Anolis sagrei: one gene and its partner. The protein of the gene in region 1 purifies or fractionates together with the protein of each later gene. This does not show direct contact. Links are inferred from orthologs where the notes say so. Each region holds a gene or a part of one and is shown in the gene's direction. Other genes may lie near its edges.

The links.
Region 2: the proteins of FBXO10 (region 1) and PDE6D purify together in Homo sapiens (affinity purification with mass spectrometry; 3 studies listed by BioGRID and IntAct, with this or other methods). This does not show direct contact. The link is inferred for Anolis sagrei from reciprocal best matches to the Homo sapiens genes FBXO10 and PDE6D.

What each region holds. Positions count from the first base shown.
Region 1 is NC_090022.1:152,323,480-152,331,105, forward strand, and holds the start of FBXO10 (F-box only protein 10), read left to right. Parts: upstream 1-4,524; 5' UTR 4,525-4,650; intron 4,651-7,626. UniProt on the Homo sapiens protein: Substrate-recognition component of the SCF (SKP1-CUL1-F-box protein)-type E3 ubiquitin ligase complex. Mediates the ubiquitination and degradation of BCL2, an antiapoptotic protein, thereby playing a role in apoptosis by controlling the stability of BCL2.
Region 2 is NC_090023.1:266,472,015-266,479,364, forward strand, and holds the start of PDE6D (retinal rod rhodopsin-sensitive cGMP 3',5'-cyclic phosphodiesterase subunit delta), read left to right. Parts: upstream 1-4,310; 5' UTR 4,311-4,385; coding exon 4,386-4,444; intron 4,445-7,350. UniProt on the Homo sapiens protein: Promotes the release of prenylated target proteins from cellular membranes. Modulates the activity of prenylated or palmitoylated Ras family members by regulating their subcellular location.

The sequences.
Region 1 (7,626 bases):
AAAAAAACCCATTAGGAACTGCCACAACAAAGACAAGAATCTGAAGATTGAAGATAGCTACATTGCACCTTTTGTTCTATTGCCTTCCACTGAGCATGTTTCACTTCTCTCAGGCCTGTTAAACTGGCTAAACCAGATTGTACTTCCAGCTGCAAAATGCTTTGGTAAAACACAAATGCAAAGATCTCCACACAAGTTTGAGCAGTCTCTGGGTTACAAACAAAATAGGTTCTGTACATTTGTTCTTAAGGTGAAGTTGTATGTAAGTCGGAACAGGTACATTTTCTAAGTGCAACTCCATATATATCTATTTCTATGAACACATATTTGGATAGCATATGAAAGGGTTAACACCCCTGTGTGTTTGTTTTACTGTCTCTACCCCTGTTCAGAAGATTTTACTTCAGTCTGTCCCTGTGACAAGTGCATGTTGGAAATTTTGGGTTGTCATGAAAACAAGGATTGGAGATAAAGCTTCAGTGGAGACACACTTTCCCCATGACAACTCTTCCAGGAGTGAATTTCCCTTCTGAGGGTAGATTTCCTCTCACTTCCCGTTGTCTCCTACTCCTTTGTAGTTATATACATTTATGCTCAAAAGTAAGAGCATTTACATGGATTTATGCTCAGGAACAAGTCTAACTGTATTCAGTAAGGTTTACTCCTAGGAAAAGAAGGCATAAGTTGTTGCTGTGTACCTTCAACTTGTTTCCAAGTTATGGAAACCCTGTCATGAGGTTTTCCTGGTAGGATTTGTACAGAAATGGTTTTCCATTGACTTCCTCTGAGGGTTTGTTTGTTTTGTTTTGTGTCAGGAGTGACTTGAGAAACTGCAAGCCACTTCTGGTGTGAGAGAATTGAACGTCTGCAAGGATGTTGTACAGGGAACACCCGGATGTTTTACCATCCTTGTGGGAGGCTTCTCTCATGTCCCCGCATGGGGAACTGGAGCTGACAGAGGGAGCTCATCTGCGCTCTCCCCAGATTCGAACCTCTGACCTGTCGGTCTTCAGTCCTGCCAGCACAAGGGTTTAACTCAATAGTTCTCAACCTTCCTAATGTCGCGACCCCTTAATACAGTTTCTCATGTTGTGGTGACCCCCAAGCATAAAATTATTTTCGTTGCTACTTCATAATTGTAATTTTGCTACTGTTATGAATTGTAATGTAAATATCTCCCATAACTGACAGTAAATACTGGAAGGGTTTGGTGGGCTTTGACCTTGAGTTTTGGAGTTGTAGTTGACCTACATCCAGTGAGCACTGTGGACTCAAACAATGATGGATCTGGACCAAATTTGGCACAAATACTCAATCTGCCTAAATGTGTACACTGGTGGAGTTTGAGGAAAATAGACCCGTGACATTTGGGAGATGTAGTTGTTGGGATTTATAGTTCATCTCCAATCAAAGCACATTCTCACAAATGATAGAATTGGGCCAAACTTCCCACACAGAACCCCCATGACCAACAGAAAATACTGTGTTTTTTTTTTATGGTTTTTGGCGACCTGTCTGACATCCCTTCACGACCCCTCCCCCCCAGGTTGAGAAACGCTGGTAACCCATTGAATCTTAATCCAATTCCCAAACCGCAAGAAACACTGTAACTTAAGTCTTTTTGACACTGCCATATTGTGCAGTTTGAAACTATGTTATATGGTCAGTATAAACTCATCTAATGCAGTTTAACTGTACAGAATTGCAGTTTCAAATGGCAATGCAGATAGGAATGAAGTAATACTGCCATCTGGTGGCTATGCCCCAGACTGCTATTCAGGAAATGAGTACTGTCTTTAGTGTTGACTGGTTAGATGTAGGAGTTGTCTTGTTACTATACAAATATTAGTCTCTACTGTCTCACTAGAGCAGAGGTCCTCAAATTTTTTAAACAGAGGGCCAGGTCACAGTCCCGCAAACTGTTGGAGGGCCAGATTATAATTTGAAAAAGAATGAATTCCTATGCACACTGCACATATCTTATTTGTAGTGCAAAAACCACTTCAAAACAATACAAAAAGTAAAATGAACAATTTTAACATGTATAAACTTATTAGTATTTCAATGGGAAGTGTGGGCCTGCTTTTGGCTGATGAGACAGGATTGTTGTTGTGTGCTTTCAAGTAATTTCAAACTTAGGATGACCCTGAGCGAGGGCCGGGTAAATGACCTTGGAGGGCCGTATCTGGCCCCTGGGCCTTAGTTTGAGGACCCCTGCTCTAGAGAAATATTGATTTTGCAATGCTCGGATTTTAGCTATGGGGGAAGAATAGATACTGAAAGTCCAAAGCAAGTTCCTTAATATCTCTGGTAAAAGGCTCTCTGCTACATTTTCTCTTGAAGGCGTAAGTTGTCTGGCTGAGTCATGAGCCTTATCAATTGCAAGTTGATAAGTTGACAGTGTTCTTTTCTTTGGAGGCCCAGTTACACCAGTTTTGAAAAGATTTATGTTGGCAAGTGACAAAGTCTTCTTTGTTTTGCAAAGCCTTTATCTTGATTTGAGAAGTTCATGACTGGTGGTGGATATTTTTAATTGGCTGCATGCTTTTTTTTTCTTTTTTTTCTTTTTTCTTTTTTTTTTTTTTTTGCCAAAGAGCCAACATGGGAGCCGACATGGTATAATGGCTTGAGCATTGAATTCAAACTCCAGCACTAAAGGGTTCGGATCACTACTTGACTGTGGAAGCCCACTAGGTAAGCTTGGACAAATAAATAGTAGATGGCATTTTGGTTTGGATATTTACAGTTTCGCAGACAAAACAAACCCAGTATTGGGTTGCGAGATCTGTTTCCACATGCAGTGAGCCCTCAAAATGAGGGCTCTAGAGTTTGATTCCAGGACCACCATGAGTTCCAAAATCAGTGGGTACTGAAGTCCCATCATATAAAATGACATAGTAAAATAGTATGCCTTATATAAAATGACAAAATCAAGGTTAGCTTTTGGGAATTTAATTTTTTGAAGCATTTTCAAGTTGTGTATGGTTGGATCCATTAATTCAAAATCACTGGATATGGAGGGCCAACTGTATCCAAAATACATCCCTTGGGCAACATCCTTGCTGACAGTCAATTCTCTCACACCAGAAGTGACTTGCAGTTTCTCAAGTCACTCCTGACATGAAAAAAAATCTGGGTGAAGTCCAAAAGGGGGCCTAGACGGAGAAGGATAGTCCATTTCCTTTGCAGATGCTCCAGTCCACTAGATTGAATGTCTATCTGTCGGGAATGCTTTGATTGTGCTTTTCCTGCATGGCAGAAGGGGTTTACACTGGATGGCCCTTTTGGGGGTCTTTTCCAACCATATGATTCTGATGTTCCAGTTCTCTCAGGGATGCTTTCCTTTGCAGATGGTCCAATCCTCTATACTGGATGGCCATCTGTCAAGAATGCTTTGATTGTGCTTTTCCTGCATGGCAGAAGGGGTTTGCACTGGATGGCCCTTTTGGGGGTCTCTTCCAACTCTATGATTCTATGATGCCCCAGTTTTCTTAGGAATGCTCTCCTTTGCAGATGGTCCAATCCACTAGATTGGGTGTCCAGCTGTCATGAATGTTTGATTGTGTGTTCCTACATGGCAGAAGGGATTTGCAATGGATGGCCCTTTTGGGGGTCTCTTCAACCATATGATTCTGATGTCCCAGTTCTCTCAGGGATGCTTTCCTTTGCAGATGATGCAATCCACTAGACTAGATGGCCATCTGTTAGTGGTGCTTTGATGGGGTGTGGCAACAGGCAGAAGAAGTTTGCACTGGATGGCCCTTGGGGTCTCTTCCAACTCTAGGGTTCCGATGTCCCAGTTCTCTCAAGAATGCTCTCCTTTGCAGATGATCCAATCCACTGGACTAGATGTCTATCTGTCAGGAATGCTTTGATGGTGTGTTCCTACATGGCAGAAGGGGGTTGTACTGGATGGCCTTTGTGGGTCCCTTTCACCTCTCTGATTCTGATTTCCCAGTTCTCTCAGGGATGCTTTCCTTTGCAGATGATCCAATCCACTAGACTGGATGTCCATCTGTCAGGAATGCTTTGATGGTGTGTTCCTACATGCACTGGGTGGCCTCTGTGGGTCTCTTCCAACTCTATGGTTCTGATGTCCCAGTTCTCTCAGGGATGCTTTCCTTTGCGGATGGTCCAATCCACTAGACTGGATGGTCATCTGTTGGTGGTGCTTTGATGGTGTGTTCCAACAGGCAGGGGTTTGCACTGGATGGCCCTTTTGGGGGTCTCTTCCAACTCTATGATTCTATGATGCCCCAGTTCTCTCAGGAATGCTTTCCTTTGCAGATGGTCCAGTCCACTAGACTGGATGTCCATCTGTCAGGAATGCTTTGATTGTGCCTTTCCTACATGGCAGAAGGGGTTTGCACTGGGTGGCCCTTGGGGTCCCTTCTAACTCTCGGGTTCTGTGAATCTCACTCCCTGGAATGCCCGGGCTCTCTTTTCTTCCTCCCTCTGTCCCTTTCTTTCCTTCCTTCCTCTCCTCCTGTTCTTCCTTCCCTGCTCTTTTCCTCCGCCTCTCTTCCCTTGGAAGCTCTCTATGACCCGGACGCCCGTGCGCGGTGGAGCTCGGGGGAGTGGCTCCTTTCCTCGGGTGTTTTCCTGCCTCCATCGTGGGGCCAGCCAGCGGATGGGATGCGGTGAGAGAAGGTAAGGGAAGAGGGGGATCCGGGCCCTTTTGGGGGGAGGGGGAAAGTTTGCCTTCTCAGCCCTCCCCCTTGGCTTTGAACAGGGACAGGAAAGGAGTGGGTGGGCTGCAGAGAGGGAGGGAGGGAGGGAGGGAGGGAGACCCACTTTGGGTGGGTGTCTTGACTGCTTGTGCTTGTGCTGCTTTAACTCCTCTTCTAGAAAATGTAGGTCCTGCAGCACACACACACACACATTCCCTGCTTTTGTTCCAGTCCTTTTGGCATTCCTGCTGAAGTCTTTCCTGATTTCAGGTGGGAAAGGATCCCTTGCAATCCCTGCCTTGCCTCTTTGTGTCTCAGAGCAGAAAGCACAGCCTAGGAGGAGATCAGGAAGATGCTTTCAGGGGCAGAGAACACAGTGCAAGAAGGGCAATTAATAGAATTAGAAGAGACCACAAAAGCCAACTCCATTCAGTTGTACACAAGGCTTTAGGAGTTTAGGTTCTGCGTGCTGAATTGGACCATAGTTTTCCAAACATTCCAGGTTGGTGACACACTTTCCAGGGATGCGTCGTTTCGTGACACCGTCATTCAATTTTACTCACAAAGTGGAGGTTAAACTAACTGCTTAGGCTCCTTCTACACAGCTGTATAAAATCCACATTGAACTGGATTATATGGCAGTGTGGATTCAGATAACTCAATTCAAATAATAATAATAATAATCATCATCTGACATGATATGAGGATTTAAAGATCGAACTGCAAAGACTCTGGCACAAGCCAGTCAAGGTGGTCCCAGTGGTGATCGGCACACTGGGTGCAGTGCCTAAAGACCTTGGTCTGCACTTAAACACAAGTGGCGCTGACAAGATTACCATCTGCCAACTGCAGAAGACCACCTTACTAGGATCTGCGCGCATCATTCACCAATATATCACACAGTCCTAGACACTTGGGAAGTGGCCGACGTGTGATCCAGTTCAACAGGTAGCAGAGTGATCCTAAGACACTGATGCTGTGGACTCATCTTGTTGTGTTTCAAATAATAATAATAATAATAATAATAATAATAATAATGACAGTGGTGATTGGCACACTGGGTGCAGTGCCTAAAGAACTCGGCCTGCACTTAAACACAATCAGCGCTGACAAGATTACCATCTGCCAGCTGCAGAAATGCCACCCTACTGGGATCTGCATGCATTATTCGCCGATACATCACACAGTCCTAGACACTTGGGAAGTGTCCAGTGTGTGATGCAATACAACAGCCAGCAGAGTGATCTTGTTTGCTGTGGATTCATCTTGTTGTGTTTCAAATAACAACAACAACAACAACGATGATGATGATGATGATGATGATAATAAACTTTATTTATACACCGGACCATCTCCCAACAAGGGACTCAGAGCAGCTTATCGTCATAAAAAATATAGCAGATAATTTAAAACAAAATAAATAACATGCCACATTTAAAACCATCACAAAATTAACACAACTGATGCATTTTGTGGATTATCTGCCTTGACATTCTGGGTTCTATGTCAGGGTGGAAGAGCCCCTTGAAGAGCTATGGACACATACACAAATGGTCATCATGAAATTATGAGGGCTCAATGTATCTCGAGAAAACCTTTCACACAAACACACACACACACACACACAATATGACTAGCGGTCCCCTGACACGCATTGTTGTGGCCCAATCTGGTGATCTGGAAAATAAAGTAATCAGAAAGTGTTGGTTTCTAATATATGTAATTTCTTTATGCTTGTGGTTAAACAGTGTTTCTTGTTGTTTGTAAGTGTTGATGTGGAGGTCTGGTTTGCCTACTCTGGAACATGCAACATATATATATGTCCTTCTTTAGGGGTCCCTTTCAGATCTATGATACTATCTGTGTGTGTGTGTGCGTGTGAATCATATATATCTATCTATATCTATGGCTGGATGGCTCTTTGTCAGGAGGGCTTTGATTACGTTTTCTTGCCCTGGTGAAGGGAGACGGACTGGATGGCCTTAAGTACTTTATGTTGGTCATGGGGGTTCTGTGTGAGAAGTTTAACCCAATACTGTTGTTGGTGGGGTTCAGAATGCTTTTTGATTGTAGGTGAACTACAAATCTCAGCAACTACAACTCCCAAATATCAAGGTCTATTTCCCCCAAACTCCATCTGTGTTCATATTTGGACATATGGAATATTCATGTCAATTTTGGTCCAGATCCATAATTGTTTGAGTCCGTAGTCTCAGACTGCTGCTGCTCCTGCCACAGGGGTCCTGAATCCTTCCATCCAGCTTGGCTGCCCTGGACCACTTGTGAGTAGGAGAAGCCCCAGGCCCTTTCCAACTGGGTGCGACTCAGCAATCCTCCAAGGAGGGAGTGACTATAAAGCTGTGTTGCACCTGCCTTGGCCTAGTCTCAGACTGCTGCTGCTCCTGCCACAGGGGTCCTGAATCCTTCCATCCAGCTTGGCTGCCCTGGACCACTTGTGAGTAGGAGAAGCCCCAGGCCCTTTCCAACTGGGTGCGACTCAGCAATCCTCCAAGGAGGGAGTGACTATAAAGCTGTGTTGCACCTGCCTTGGCCTAGTCTCAGACTGCTGCTGCTCCTGCCACAGGGGTCCTGAATCCTTCCACCCAGCTCGGCTGCCCTGGACCACTTGTGAGTAGGAGAAGCCCCAGGCCCTTTCCAACTGGGTGCGACTCAGCAATCCTCCAAGGAGGGAGTGACTATAAAGCTGTGTTGCACCTGCCTTGGCCTAGTCTCAGACTGCTGCTGCTCCTGCCACAGGGGTCCTGAATCCTTACATCCAGCTTGGCTGCCCTGGACTACTTGTGAGTAGGAGAAGCCCCAGGCCCTTTCCAACTGGGTGCGACTCAGCAATCCTCCAAGGAGGGAGTGACTATAAAGCTGTGTTGCACCTGCCTTGGCCTAGTCTCAGACTGCTGCTGCTCCTGCCACAGGGGTCCTGAATCCTTACATCCAGCTT
Region 2 (7,350 bases), on another chromosome or scaffold:
CCATTTTGGGTTCAGTCCACACAGAGAAGCCTTTCACACAGGACATAAAACCAAGAGCTCCTGTAGAAAGCTTCGTCTTCTACGGCTTGGCCGGGGTTATATAGCCCTACATCTCCTTTGCTGAAGCACTTCAACCAGCCATCACTGGAACCTGAATTCTTTTTACCCTGGAAGTCTACAAAGCTCTGCTTGGTAAGGGTCACTCGCGGAAGCCAGAAGCAGTTGGTACCGGGTGCAGGGGCTCCACGCCAACAGAGGCAAAGACAGACTGCCCAGATTAGAAGTTAAGGATTTCCCCATTAGTTACAGTTATGAAGATAGTGCCTGTTCCCTGTGGACAAGATTGAGAGAGAGCCAATAGACCAGTAGTTCTCAACCTGGGGTCCCCAGATGTTTTTGGCCTACAGCTCCCAGAAATCCCAGTCAGTTTACCAGCTGTTAGGATTTCTGGGAGTTGAAGGCCAAAAACATCTGGGGACCCCAGGTTGAGAACCACTGCAATAGACTGTTAAGAAAGCCTTAAAGTACCTGTTTGTTTTCATTAATAAAGAACTTTGTTGAACCTTTAAGCAATCTAAAGACTCTGTTTTAAGGAAATCCAAGGGCCTTTAATCTGAGGCAGCCCGGGTGTCCCGTTGGGCACACGGAATTTATGTCCTGTCTACAGTCTTATGCACAGGCCTAGCGTGCAACAGCACAATGTTTATATGTATATATGGTTTATTTTGGGGGTTTTTAGGGTGTATATTGTATATTGGTGTATATGTATGTGTGTGTATATATGTATATTTGTGTGTGTTTGCGTGTATATATATATATGTATGTGTGTCTGTATGCATGTGTACATGTATATGAATGTATGTGTATATGTATATATGGTTTATTTTGGGGGGGGGGTTAGAGTGTATATGTATAGAAGTGTATATGTATGTGTGTGTATATGTGTATATTTGTGTCTGCTTGCATATATATATGTGTGTGTGTGTGTCTGTATGTATGTGTACATGTATATGAATGTATGTGTATATGTATATATGGTTTATTTTGGGTCTTTTTAGGGTGTATATGTATAGAGGTGTATATGTATGTGTGTGTATATATGTATATTTGTGCATGCTTGCATGTATATGTGTGTGTGTGTCTGTATGTATGTGTACATGTGTAAATGTATATGAATGTATGTGTATATGTATATATGGTTTATTTTGGGGGGGGGGGTTAAGGGTGTATATGTGTAGAGGTGTATATATATGTGTGTGTATGTGTATATTTGTGTGTGCTTCCGGGATATGTATATATGGTTTATTTTGGGTCTTTTTAGGGTGTATATGTATATAGGTGTATATGTGTATATTTGTGTCTGCTTGCATATATATGTGTGTGTGTCTGTATGTATGTGTACATGTATATGAATGTATGTGTATATGTTTATATGGTTTATTTGGGGTTTTTTTGGGGTTTTAGGGGTGATTGTCACTCTTTGGCCTGTTAGTTGTATTGTGTCCAAATTTGGTGCCAATTCGCCCAGTGTTTTTTGAGTTATGTTTATCCCACAAATGAATCTTATATAGAAATAATTATATATAAATAATAATTATATATAAATAACGAATCTTATATAGAAATAATTATATAAATAATTATAATATAATAATAAACGAATCTTATATAGAAATAATTATATATAAATAATTATAATATAATAATAAACAAATCTTATATAGAAATAATTATATATAAATAATAATTACATATAAATAACGAATCTTATATAGAAATATTATATAAATAATTATCATATAATAATAAACGAATCTTATATAGAAATAATTATATATAAATAATTATAATATATATAGGTGTGTATATGTGTGTGCATATATGTATATTTGTGTCTGCTTGTGTATATATATGTGTGTGTGTGTCTATATGTATGTGTACATGTATATGAATGTATGTGTATATGTATATATGGTTTATTTTGGGGGGGGTTAGGGTGTATATGTATAGAGGTGTATATGTATGTGTGTGTATATGTGTATATTTGTGTGTGCTTGCGTATATATATATATATATATGTGTGTCTGTATGCATGTGGACATGTGTACATGTATATGAATGTATGTGTATATGTATATATGGTTTATTTTGGGGGTTTTTTAGGGTGTATATGAATATTGGTGTATATGTATGTGTGTGTATATGTGTATATTTGTGTGTGCTTGCGTATATATATATATATGTATGTGTGTCTGTATGCATGTGGACATGTGTACATGTATATGAATGTATGTGTATATGTATATATGGTTTATTTTTGGGGGGGGTTAGGATGTATATGTATAGAGGTGTATATGTATGTCTGTGTATATATGTATATTTGTCCATGCTGGCATGTATATATGTGTGTGTGTCTGTATGTATGTGTGCATGTGTACATGTATATGAATGTATGTGTGTATGTATATATGGTTTAAATTGGGGGGGGTTGTGTGTTTTTAGGGGTGATTGTCACTCTTTGGACTGTTAGGTGTATTGTATCCAAATTTGGTGTCAATTCGCCCAGTGTTTTTTGAGTTATGTTTATCCCACAAACGAATCTTATATAGAAATAAGATTTCATTCATATCTCTTTCTCTAAAAGGTAACAACTTGTGAAAACGTACGTGTGAAAAAGATCTTGGAGTCCTTGTGGACAACAAGTTAAACATGAGCCAACAATGTGATGTGGCGGCAAAAAATGCCAATGGGATTTTGGCCTACATCAATAGGAGTCTAGTGTCTAGATCTAGGGAAGTCATGCTCCCCATGCTCTATTCTGCTCTGGTTAGACCACACCTGGAATATTGTGTCCAATTCTGGGCACCACAATTCAGGAAATCAGAAGACGCTTCCTTCTTGGGAGGAGAGCAATGTCCAATCTCGATAAAATAGTAAAGAGTAGAGACATCAGACTGGCAACAAAGATCCGCCTAGTCAAAGCCATGGTATTCCCTGTAGTGACCTACGGATGTGAGAGCTGGACCTTAGGGAAGGCTGAGCGAAGGAAGATCGATGCTTTTGAGCTGTGGTGTTGGAGGAAAGTTCTGAGAGTGCCTTGGACTGCGAGAAGATCCAACCAGTCCATCCTCCAGGAAATAAAGCCCGACTGCTCACTGGAGGGAAAGATACTAGAGACAAAGTTGAAGTACTTTGGTCACATCATGAGGAGACAGGAAAGCCTAGAGAAGACAATTATGCTGGGGAAAGTGGAAGGCAAAAGGAAGAGGGGCCGACCAAGGGCAAGATGGATGGATGGCATCCTTGAAGCGACTGGACTGACCTTGAGGGAGCTGGGGGTGGTAACGGCCGACAGGGAGCTCTGGCGTGGGCTGGTCCATGAGGTCACGAAGAGTCGGAGACGACTGAACGAATGAACAACAACAACAAATTGACAAGCTGGAATGTGTCCAGAGGAGGGCGACTAAAATGATCAAGGGTCTGGAGAACAAGCCCTATGAGGAGCGGCTTAACGAGCTGGGCATGTTTAGCCTGAAGAAGAGAAGGCTGAGAGGGGATATGATAGCAATGTATAAATATGTGAGAGGAAGCCACAGGGAAGAGGGAGCAAGCTTGTCTTCTGCTTCCCTGGAGACTAGGACGCAATGGAACAATGGCTTCAAACTACAAGAGAGGAGATTCCATCTGAACACGAGGAAGAACTTCCTGACTGTGAGAGCCGTTCAGCAGTGGAACTCTCTGCCCCGGAGTGTGGTGGAGGCCCCTTCTTTGGAAGCTTTTAAGCAGAGGCTGGATGGCCATCTGTCAGGGGTGATTTGAATGCAACATTCCTGCATCTTGACAGGGGGTTGGACTGGATGGCCCATGAGGTCTCTTCCAACTCTTTGATTCTATGATTCTATGATATATAAACCCTTTTTCCTAGTTCCAACAGACCTCCCTACCTCTGAGGATGCTTGCCATAGATGCAGGCGAAACGTCAGGAGAGAATGCCTCTAGAACATGGTCATATAGCCCCAAAAAACCTACAACAACCCATTCACCCAATCCTCCGTGCCCTGCTCTGTCCACCAGGGGGCGCTCTTCTCTACGCCTTCCTAGCATTGCCCATTTCGAGCCATAGCGTTCGCTTCTCGGTGGAGATTGTCCCGCGGCGAGACCCGTCAGCCCCTCACTCTCTCCTGCGGTTGCTGGGGCGTCTCTTCCTTAGCGACTGAGCCGGGGAAGGGAGCCTCCCTCGGATTGGCCGCCGGCGCTGCCTGTGTGGGGAAGCCCCGGCTGGGATTGGTCGAGCGGGGCGTAGTAGGCGGGGCGTGTTGTGTGGAGGGCTGGTTCCGCCGGCGTCGGGGCGTCCGAGGCGCCTCTCTCTCCGGCCCAGAGGAGCCATGTCCGGCCAGGAGGAGGAGGAGGAGCGCGCCAAGGAGATCCTCAGGGGCTTCAAGCTGTATCCCAGGGAAGGAAGGAAAGAAAGGAAAGAAAGCAAGCGGGGGAACGAGGAGGCCAGGGATGGAGGCCCAGCTCCTGCGGGTTTGCTCGGGGAATTACGGTACAGAAGCCTTGCTTGGGAGGGGAGAGGGAGGGGGATATGGGGGAATATGGGAGGCTACTTCAATAATAATAATAATAATAATAATAATAATGTTCTAGAGGCATTCTCTCCTGACGTTTCGCCTGCATCTATGGCAAGCATCCTCAGAGGTAGTGAGGTCTGTTGGAACTAGGAAAATGGGTTTATATATCTGTGGAATGACCAGGGTGGGACAAAGAACTCTTCTCTGCTGGAGCTAGGTGTGAATGTTTCAACTGACCACCTTCATTAGCATTAGAAGGCCTGGCTGAGCCTGGGGGAATCTTTTGTTGAGAGGCGATTAGATGTGCCTGATCGTTTACTCTCTGCTGTTTTGCTGTTGTAATTTTTGAGTTTTTTTTAATACTGGTAGCCAGATTTTGTTCATTTTCATGGTTTCCTCCTTTCTGTTGAAATTGTCCACATGCTTGTGTATTTCAATGGCTTCTCTGTGGAGTCTGACATGGTCCCAGCATTTCTGTGTTCTCAAATAATATGCTGTGTCCAGATCAGTTCCTCAGGTGCTCTGCTATGGCTGACTTCTCTGGTTGAAGGAGTCTGCAGTGCTTTTCATGTTCCTTGATTCGTGTTTGGGCAACGATGCTGCGTTTGGTGTTCCCTCTGTAGACTTGTCCACAGCTGCATGGTACACGGTGGACTCCTGCAGCGGTGAGAGGATCCCTCTTGTCCATTGCTGAACGAAGCATTTGTTGTATCTTCTTGGTGGGTCCGTAGGTTGTTTGTATGTTGTGTTTCCTCATCAGCTTCCCTCTGTGGTCAGTGGTTCCCTTGATGTATGGCAGGAACACTTTTCCTCTGGGTGGATCTTCATCTTGACTCTTGTGGCTTGTTCTGGGTCTTGCAGCTCTTCTGATGTCTGAGGTGGAGTCTCCATTGGCCTGGAGAGCCCAGTTGAGGTGGTTCCCCCAGGCTCAGCCAGGCCTTCTAATGCTAATGAAGGTGGTCAGTTGAAACATTCACACCTAGCTCCAGCAGAGAAGAGCTCTTTGTCCCACCCCAGTCATTCCACAGACATATAAACCCATTTTCCTATTTCCAACAGACCTCACTACCTCTGAGGATGCTTGCCATAGATGCAGGCGAAACGTCAGGAGAAAATGCCTCTAGAACATGGCCATATAGCCTGAAAAAACCCACAAGAACCTAGCAGAGTAAATAATAATAAACTATTGTATTCCTTTGTATACCTGACCTTTTTTCACGTGAGATCTAAAGCAGCTATAAATAAATATAATAATAATAAATGGCAGAGGAAATAACAATTTAAATGTATCAAATCCTGATCTCTTTCACATGAGATCAAAGGCGGATATAAATATAATAATAATAAAGGGCAGATATAATAATAATAATAATAATAATAATAATAATAAATAGCAGAGGAAATAATAATAAACTATCGTATTCCTTTGTATACCTGACCTTTTTTCACATGAGATCAAAGGCGGATATAAATAAATATAATAATAATAAATGGCAGAGGAAATAATAACAATTTAAACAAACTACCGTATTTCTTTGTATCAAAACCTGCCCTTTTTTCACGTGAGATCAAAGGTGGATATAATAATAATAATAATAATAATAATAATAATAATAAATGGCAGATACAAATATAATTATATGAACCACTAAGACAATTAAGATCTTCTGGTGGGGCCCTGCTCTCAATCCCACCACTTTCGCAATCGCATCTGGTGGGAATGAGAGACAGGGCCTTTTCTGTGGTGGCCCCTCGGCTATGGAATTCTCTCCCAATTGAGATCAGATATGCCCCCTCCCTCCTGTCCTTCAGGAGGCTGGTGAAATCTTGGCTATGGAAGGAAGCATTCCCAAAGTAATGGATGAAACCGGCTACAGAACAAAGTTATCGACCACACAAACGGACTGAGTTGGACATGATTTTATCTTGGCGATTTGGCTTATTTGTAATTTTAATCGATATGTATTTTAACTTGTTATTATATGATGTTTTTAGATAATACTATTAGCATTGAATCCTTGCTGTAAGCCGGTTTGAGTCAAGGAGGTGAGAAGATCGGGATATAAAAGTTTTAAATAAATAATAATAAATAATAAGAATAATAAATAGCAGAGGAAATAATAATAAACTACCGTATTCCTTTGTATCTAAGGTTCCCCATTTTTTTAACTTGAGATCAAAACTCAAGTGAAACTCACTTTTTTGCACTGGAGATCAATGGCAGACATAAATATAATGATTTTTTTTCATGTCAGGAGCGACTTGAGAAATTGCAAGTCGCTTCTGGTGTGAGAGAATTGACTGTCTGCAAGGACGGTGCCCAGGGGACGCCCAGGTGTTTTGATGTTTTAATGTTTTACCATCCTTGGGAGGTTTCTCTCATGTCCCCCATGGGGAGCTGGAACTGACAGAGGGAGCTCATCCGCGCTGTCCCCGGAGTTGAACTTCCAACCTTCCGGTCTTCAGTCCTGCCGGCTATATAATGATAATTATAATATATTATTATCACAGTATAATAATAATAATAAATGGCAGATATAAATATAATGACAATAATACATGGCAGATATAAATATAACGATAATAATAATACATGGCAGATATAAATATAATAACAGTAATAAATGGCAGATATAAATATATGATGATGATAATAAGTGACAGATATAAATATAATTACGATGATAATAATAAAAATGGCAGATATAAATATAATAACAATAAATGGCAGATATAAATATAATAACAATAAATGGCAGATATAGATATAACAATACCA